Macaca mulatta: one gene and its partner. Each later gene encodes a partner of the first gene's protein in a complex. Links are inferred from orthologs where the notes say so. Each region holds a gene or a part of one and is shown in the gene's direction. Other genes may lie near its edges.

Region 1 (4,010 bases):
TGAGCCCAGGAATTCAAGACCAGCCTGGGCAACATGGTGATACTGCATCTCTACAAAAAAATGCAAAAATTAGCCAGGCTTGGTGGTGCACACCTGTGGTCCCAGCTATCAGGGAGACTGAGGTGGGAGAATTGCTTGGGCCTAGGAGGTGGAGGTTATGATGAGCCAAGACTGAGCCACTGCACTCCAGCCTGGGTGACACACTGAGACCGTGTCTAAAAAAAAAAAAAATTCGCCAGGCATGGTGGCATGGGCCGGCAGTCCCAGCTACTCAGAAGGTTGAGCTGGGGCCACAAGTGCGCACGTTCACGCCTGGCTAATTGTTGTATTTCTTGGAGAGAGGTGGGGGGGGGTCTGGCTATGTTGCTCAGGCTGGACTTGAACTCGTGAGCTCAAGTGATCTACCCATCTCAGCCTCTCAAAGTGTTGGAATTACAGGCGTGAGCCACTGCTCCTGGCCTCATATTCTTTCGGGATGGCTTCAACTCCGACCTTCGTCCCCAGGCAAAATATAGCTCCTTATCCTTAGCAGCAATTGGAAACCTTTCTAGGTGTTAATGATAAAGTGGGGGAGAAAAAGAGTGCAAAGGCTCTGAGGTGAGAAGAACCTGGATTGTTGGCGGAGTTGAAGGACGCTGAGAATGTGGGGGAGCTGGATGTGTGAGGACAAGAAAGCGGCAGGTCAGGTCCAGACTTTGAAGAGCCTGGTAGATACTCTAGGTGAAGAGTTAGATCTTAATTAGGAGTAGGGAGGGAAACGGGCTTTGAGCAGGGGATGGCGTTTTGAAAAGACCTCTCTGCCTGTGTACGAAGAATGGATTAGAACGGCAAAGAGTAATAGGGTGGAGACCACCGTCATCTTGGAGAGATGGTGGTCGCTTCGATGGAGAAGTGGGAAGCTTTGAGACACATGTAGGTGGCAAAATTAACGGGTGATGGATAGCGTCCATTCCCCGGCTTCCGAGATCTCAGTGATTACGAGTGAGTAGGGGCTTCGTGTTTCTGATAGGGCGCGGACCTGTTTCCCGCGCGTCAGGGCAGTGGGCGTGGCCTGCGCAGGCGGTTGCCACGGTGATCGGGCGGACAGGGCAGGGGGCGGGGCCGCTGGGACCTTACGTCACTCGGTGGTGGCGATGATGCGTCTGTGTGGGGGGCGGGGGATACGCTGGGCGCGTCCCGGGGGTCACGTGGTGTAGAGCACGCAGAGTCCTTCTGTCGGTTGGTCCTGGAGCGGCGCAGCCGGAGTGGGGCCGTGAGGTGAGCTCGCGGCGAGGCTCGGCGAGGCGAAGCCGGCTGGCCGGGGCCGGGTCGGGCCGGGCCCGCGCTGCGCGCGCGCCGTGCGGACGGGGACGGCGACGGACGCCACGGCTGCTCCGGTCCCCTGCCCGGCCCCGCTCCCCGCCTGGCCCCGCTCGCCCAGCCTGGAGGGAGGCCCTGGGACTGCTGCTGAGAGCGTGGCGGGCGTGCGAGCGGTGCCCAATCCCCGGGGCTACCCTCAAGAGTGACGGCGGCTGCCGCCAATCAGCGCCGCCCGAGGGGGCTGGGCCGTGGGGTGCGGGCCCGGGGCGCGGAGCGGGCCGTGTTGGGGGTGCGGGTGAGCGCTAGGGACCGAGCCTGAGCTGTGTGGGCCCCTAGAGCCTCATCAGCAGCCTCTGCTGTTGCCCTGTGCTTTGGGGATACGTTTTTTTAAAATTGGCTTTTTTATGCTATTCCGGGGAGCACATTCCTTTCTCAAGACCCCAAATATGGGAGTGTCCCTTTTCTCTATAGTTTTGAAAACTGGGCGGCACACCCCCTTTCTTAAGCTCTAGCTCTGGAATTTTATCTAAATTTCTAAAGCCCCCCGCGAATTGAAGGTGTGCCCTCTAACCTCAGCCCCCAAAGTGGAAGCACACTCCTTTTTTCGGGCCTCCAATCTGATTCTGCGTTTCCGTTCCAATTTAGAGGTTCACCCTGTTATCGGGTCTTCAGATCTGGGGTCCATTAGCCAAAGTTTTGGGATACTTTCTTGTATCCCCACCACTCCAAAGAAGAATCCCCCTTTTCCAGGTCCCAAATCTGACAGCATGCCTTCAGGAATTTCTTACATTTAGGGGCCACTTCCTTTCCTCAGCCCTTCAAATCTGAGGTTGGGCCGAAAACGATGTCCAAATTCTGAAGTTTATGAGTACTTATTTCCAGTTTCACAAATAAGGGAATTCACTGCCTTCTCCCGAGACTGTATTCTTGGGGTTACACACTTTTCACGTGTTCCCCAAATCAAACTACCTTATTTCCTGAGGGAGACTCATTTTCATATCTGGGAGTATATTTATTTCTTGTGCCCCTCAAATGTACGAGGTGAACCCCTTTTAGTTCTACAACTCTCAGAGTGCAGCCACTTTCCAGATGCTTCTTAAATTTGGGGGGCACACCTTTTTCTGAGTCCTCTCATTTCCAGGTGGCGAATGGTCTGTGGTTTTGAGCATGGCTTCCTACCCTTTTTAGCTTTTCTGTCATCCAAGACATTTTCATTCCTCAGTTTCCTTCCATTTTTGGAGCCACATTCCCCTTGAGGTGCTCTCCCAGTCTGGTCAGCGTACCCATTTCCTCTTCCCTCCTCTGGCGAGTGCGTATCTTTGTTCAGCACGGCACTTTTCTCTCTGCTCCTGCGGCCTTTTTTTCAGAGCACACTTTCCAGAGTCACGCCTCCTGAATTCTCCTCTCCCTCCAGGGAAGGATTCCTCTCCTAAAGGGCTACCTGCACATTGTTTTTCATAGGCCTGTCTTTTATCTTTCCGCTAACCGGATCTCTTCTCTTTTGGCTTGCCCAATCCCCAAACATTTTTCTGGTTTCTGTCTTTCTCCGGAACTGTTCTGTTTATGTAGTGGCTATACAGATTTTCCTTGTGCTGGAGGTGGCCTCAAGTCTAGGAGTGCCTCAGCCCCCAGGGCTGGATTCAAAGTGGAAACCATTTCTTTGGTTAATCACAGGACTCTGAATCCTCCTGGTGGTTTACTTCATAGAAGACCTAAGATTCTGTTTGGGTGCATACTGTTTTCTCCTTTGCTTTTATCTCCTTGTGCTGGAAAACAAAAACAAACAAAACTCTCAGATTTCTCCAGCACTGCTTCTAACCTATAAGCTTCTTCCGTACATTGGCCTTATTACTATCTTTTATGAAGAAAATATGTCATTTGGAGGAATTCCTTGGATACTCTTTTTGTTCTTGTCCCTAGGGTGTCGGTGGGGAAATTGATATTTTTCTCTCCCAGTCATCCTCTTGTCAGTCTTCACCCCCAATCCTGACTTTAAAATCTGCAAATATCTGGGACCTCCTGTCTCTTAAGAGCCTCAATAGTTCTTTCTTTTGTGTTTCCCTCTGCCTTTACAGATCTTATTCAGGGCTTCTCAGCCTGAACCCCCAACCAGATTAATTTCTCCACAGCTGGAATTCCAAGTGCTTGGGGATAATGATACCTCTGACCTTTCTTCCTTTTGGGAAGTACTTGAGTGTGCAACTGCATGAGGCCTCAGCAGGAGAGAGATTTTTAGGTCCAAGAAGCTATACCAGTAGGACAAGGCAGGAAAATACTACACTTTCAGGATCAAGCCCCTCTGACTCTCATTTGGAAACTGGATGTTTGCTAAGCACGTGCTTCTTTTTTTTTTTTTTTTTTTTGAGACGGAGTCTGGCTCTGTCACCCAGGCTGGAGTGCAGTGGCGCGATCTCGGCTCACTGCAAGCTCCGCCTCCCGGGTTTACGCCATTCTCCTGCCTCAGCCTCCCGAGTAGCTGGGACTACAGGCGCCCGCCACCTTGCCCGGCTAGTTTTTTGTATTTTTTAGTAGAGACGGGGTTTCACCGTGTTAGCCAGGATGGTCTCGATCTCCTGACCTCGTGATCCGCCCGTCTCGGCCTCCCAAAGTGCTGGGATTACAGGCTTGAGCCACCGCGCCCGGCCAGCACCTGCTTCTTAAGGATGCCGAGGGATTTAATCATATTCCCAGAAACCTGGAGAGATTAATGG
Region 2 (4,246 bases), on another chromosome or scaffold:
GCAAACAGTGATCCTGGCCGGGCGCGGTGGCTCACGCCTGTAATTCCAGCACTTTGGGAGGCCGAGGCGGGCGGATCACCTGAGGTCGGGAGTTCGAGACCAGCCTGACCAACATGGAGAAACCCCGTCTCTACTAAAAAATACAAAATTAGCCGGACGTGGTGGCACATGCCTATAATCCCAGCCACTAGGGAGGCTGAGGCAGGAGAATCGCTTGAACCTGGGAGGCGGAGGTTGCAGTGAGCCGAGATTGTGCCATTGCACTCCAGCCTGGGCAAAAAGAGTGAAACTCCATCTCAAAAACAAAACAAAAAACAAAAAACAAAAACAGTGATCCTCCAGCCTCTGTCTATGTCTGATTTAAAAAAAAAAATTTTATTTTTTTCGAGACGGAGTTTCGCTCTTGTTGCCCACGCTGGAGTGCAATGGCGCGATCTCGGCTCACCGCAATCTCCGCCTCCCGGATTCAAGCGATTCTCCTGCCTCAGCCTCCCGAGTAGCTGGGATTACAGGCATGCACCACCACGCCCTGCTAATTTCGTAGTTTTAGTAGAGACGGGGTTTCTCCATGTTGGTCAGGCTGGTCTCGAGCTCCCGACCTCCGGTGATCCGCCCGCCTCAGCCTCCCAAAGTGCTGGGATTACAGGCGTGAGCCACCGCGCCCGGCTTGTCTGATTTTATGCTAGCTGTGTACAGTGGTGAGGGAACAGCAGCCTAGGACCACAGACTGAGGGTTCAAAAGTAGCCGGAAAACGAGCCACGCTGCAAGTTGGAAAAATATGACTAGCTGGCAACCCGCCCCACAGCCCGCTCTCCGCCCCCTTCCCCAGCTCACTCTCCTCGGGGCGGAGTTGCTGACAGTCATAGCCACCCCAACCGCGCATTTTCTCAGCGCTCCGCCCTTCCAGACACGATAGGTAGTGGGCCTCGGCCAATGGCAACACCCCGTCATAGGCGCGGTAGCCAATCAGTAGCCAGGAGTCCGGAAAGGAGCGAGGCCAATCTAGGAGCCGCGGCCGCCACCAGAGTAGGGCTAGCGGCGCGGCAGAGCGCGGCGGAGCGCGGCGCAGCGCCTGAGGTAAGATGGCGGCGTTCCTTGCTCTAAGCTCTTGCAGTTGGGCTGCTATTTCGCCTTTTTTGTCAACTCAGAGCTGCTGTTTCGCCTCAAAGCAGTGTCAGAGTCAGTCTTCTTCCTACAGGCTTCAAGGAGCCAGGATCTCTGGTGACCGGAGTAGGACAAAATGGCGCTCGCATGGACTTCCGAGGCCGGGCCCAGTCGTGTGCTCTGAGGCAGGCCGGGACAAAGGCGGTGTGCAGGGAGGCAGCGTGGCCGTCGCGTGGGCCTGGCGTTGTCGCTTCCCTTCATGCTGCAGCTGTGCGAGTCCTGAAGATACATTCAGCGTGGTGGGGTTCGGGGTGGGGCCGGGCATGGAGGGACAAGCTAAAGAGAGGGAAAGCCACAAATGCCTGTGGAGACCTGGGGAGGGCGGCGGGCAGTTAGGGAGCGTACCTTACGGGGCCGACTTCTGCCTCTCTTTTGGAAACTGCCCGCGGCATCTGTCCAGATACGGTGGAGCAGGAATTTTCGGGAAGGGTAAAGGCTTTCTGATTTTTATTTTGACCCCGCAGGTTTTGGTTATGAACAGGATTCGGATTCACGTCCTGCCAACCAATCGGGGGAGGATCACTCCAGTGCCCAGGTCTCAGGAACCTCTGTCTTGTGCATTCACTCATCGTCCATGCTCTCAGCCTCGTCTGGAGGGGCAGGAGTTTTGCATTAAGCATATCCTTGAAGACAAGAATGCACCCTTCAAGCAGTGTAGTTATATATCGACGAAGAATGGAAAAAGATGTCCCAGTGCTGCCCCAAAGCCAGAGAAGAAAGATGGGTATGTATGTATAGATATATATGTCGTTTGTCTTAAAGCGAGGGGGTGTGTGATATGATGTGGGCTTCAGCATAGCTGCCGCGTTTGAGATCACGTCCTTGTAAATTTGGGGTTATGGTTGTATCCTTGGAAAATTGAAAAAACGGTGAAGACTGGAAGGACCCTTGAATTGGATTACTTAGTTCACCTCTTTGGTTCTTTTCCCTTATCTGTAGTAAAATAAAGGCATATTCTAAATTACTTTTTTTTTTTTTTTTTTTAAGAGAGATGGAGTCTTGCTGTTTTAACCAGGCTGGTCTCAAACTCCTGGCCTCAAGGTGTCCTCCCATCTCGGTCTCCCAGAGTGCTGGGATTACAGGCGTGAACCACCGTGCCCGACCCTAAAATTAATCTTTTTTTCTTTCTTTTTTTTTTTTTTTTTTTTTTGAGACAGAGTCTCCCTTTATTCCCCAGGCTGGAGTGCGGTGGTGATCTCGGCTCACTGCAACCTCCGCCTCCCAGGTTCAAGCGATTCTCCTGCCTCCCAAGTAGCTGGGACTTAAGGCGTGCGCCACCACGCCTGGCTAATTTTTGTACTTTTTAGTAGAGACGGGTTTTCACCATGTTGGCCAGGCTGATTTTGAACTCCTGACCTCAGGTGATCCATCCGCTTCGGCCCTCCAGAGTGTTGGGATTACTGGCGTGAGCCAGGGCACCCAGCCCCTAAAATTATTCTTAATGGAGGGATGTGTGGCTCTATTTGGCTGTCCATGAATTTTGTTAAATAACATGCAAAGTTGTATATGTGTGAATTCTTCTGTAAGAGGGTTCATAGTTTTCATCATGTATGCAAAGGTATCTATGCAAAAACATAACCTGACTAGATAATTTTGTACATATCTTGTAGTTTTAAAATTGTGTCCCTGGCTGGTCGCAGTGGCTCATGCCTGTAGTCCCAGTACTTTGGGAGGCCACAGCAGGAGGATCACTTGAGGCCAGGAGTTGGAGACCAACCCGAGCAATATAGTGAGACCACGTCTCTACAAAAGATTAAAAAATTCGCTGGGCATAATGTCTTGGGCATGTAGTCCCAGCTTCTTGGGTGTATCAAGAGATGGGAGGATCACTTGAGCCTGGGAGTTCCAGACCAGACTTGGCAACATAGACTTTGTTTCTACAAAAAACTAAAAAAAATTTGCCGGTACAGTGGTGCATGCCTATAGTTCTAGCTATTTTGAAGCTGAGGCAGGAGGATCACTTGAACCAAGCAGTTTAAGGCTACAGTGAGCTATGATTGCATGACTGCACTTTAGTCTGGGCAACAGAGCAAGACCCAATCCCTTGCCTCAGCCTCCTAAAGTGCTGGGATTACAGGGGTGAACCGCTTCATCCGGCCTGTTACTTTCCTTTAATAAAAAGTCAATGAGTTGACCTTGGGCCAGTTAAATTCCTCTGACTTGCATTTTTAGAAATGAATGTAATAATCATTTTAATTCCCTGAAAATGATTTAAAGATTAGGGACTATGAAAATTATTGAATGCTTTCAAGAAGGGACTTATAAAATATTAATGTTTTGTCTCTTTAGGGTGTCCTTCTGTGCTGAACATGTCCGTAGGAATGCCCTGGCACTTCATGCTCAAATGAAGAAGACCAACCCAGGGCCTATGGGTGAAACACTCCTGTGCCAGCTCAGCTCATATGCTAAGACAGAGCTGGGGTCTCAGACTCCAGAAAGTAGTCGCAGTGAAGCCAGCCGAATACTAGGTAAGGATCTTCTCTCCTGGAATGAAAAAGGAGGAAGAAAGTTAAGGGGGAACTGTTTTGGGTTAGCACAATGCCTTGAACTATTTGGCAATATTGTTAATTCATCAGGAATTTGTTGAGAATTCCGGGATTGCTTTGTTGTTTACCAATTCTTTTGAATTTGAAGTAGTGTTTGCCTAGGTTTACTCTCCTGAGTTGGTGACCATTTCTTTCATTGCTTTTTTAATGCTCAGCAGCTTTGTTACGTAATTTCAGGAAACAATAATTTTAAGTTGATTTTTCTGTTTAAGAGGGCATGGTGTACTCATTTGTGTTGTAAGTAATCATACTGGGTTGTATTTTGTTAAAGCGTTTTTATTTCCCAGTGCCTTTGTACAAAGTTTTTTTTTTTTTTTTTTTTAATTTCAAGGTTTGGGTTGATAAGTAATCTAGTTTTGTGTGGTGGAGTTACAGAGGTGGGAAGTCTTAATGGCTGCTCTCCCTTCCTTGCCTCAGATGAAGACAGCTGGAGTGATGGGGAGCAGGAACCCATTACTGTGGATCAGACATGGAGAGGTGACCCTGACAGTGAAGCTGATAGCATAGACAGTGATCAAGAAGATCCCTTAAAGTA

What was found. The genes of interacting proteins can lie anywhere in the genome.
Region 2: PHF20 (region 1) and KANSL2 share a complex: the UniProt entries of both Homo sapiens proteins name them as parts of the NSL complex. The link is inferred for Macaca mulatta from reciprocal best matches to the Homo sapiens genes PHF20 and KANSL2.

What each region holds. Positions count from the first base shown.
Region 1 is NC_133415.1:88,598,477-88,602,486, forward strand, and holds the start of PHF20 (PHD finger protein 20), read left to right. Parts: upstream 1-1,192; 5' UTR 1,193-1,257; intron 1,258-4,010. UniProt on the Homo sapiens protein: Methyllysine-binding protein, component of the MOF histone acetyltransferase protein complex.
Region 2 is NC_133416.1:55,839,328-55,843,573, reverse strand, and holds the start of KANSL2 (KAT8 regulatory NSL complex subunit 2), read left to right. Parts: upstream 1-1,422; 5' UTR 1,423-1,428; coding exon 1,429-1,889; intron 1,890-3,454; coding exon 3,455-3,633; intron 3,634-4,128; coding exon 4,129-4,243; intron 4,244-4,246. UniProt on the Homo sapiens protein: Non-catalytic component of the NSL histone acetyltransferase complex, a multiprotein complex that mediates histone H4 acetylation at 'Lys-5'- and 'Lys-8' (H4K5ac and H4K8ac) at transcription start sites and promotes transcription initiation.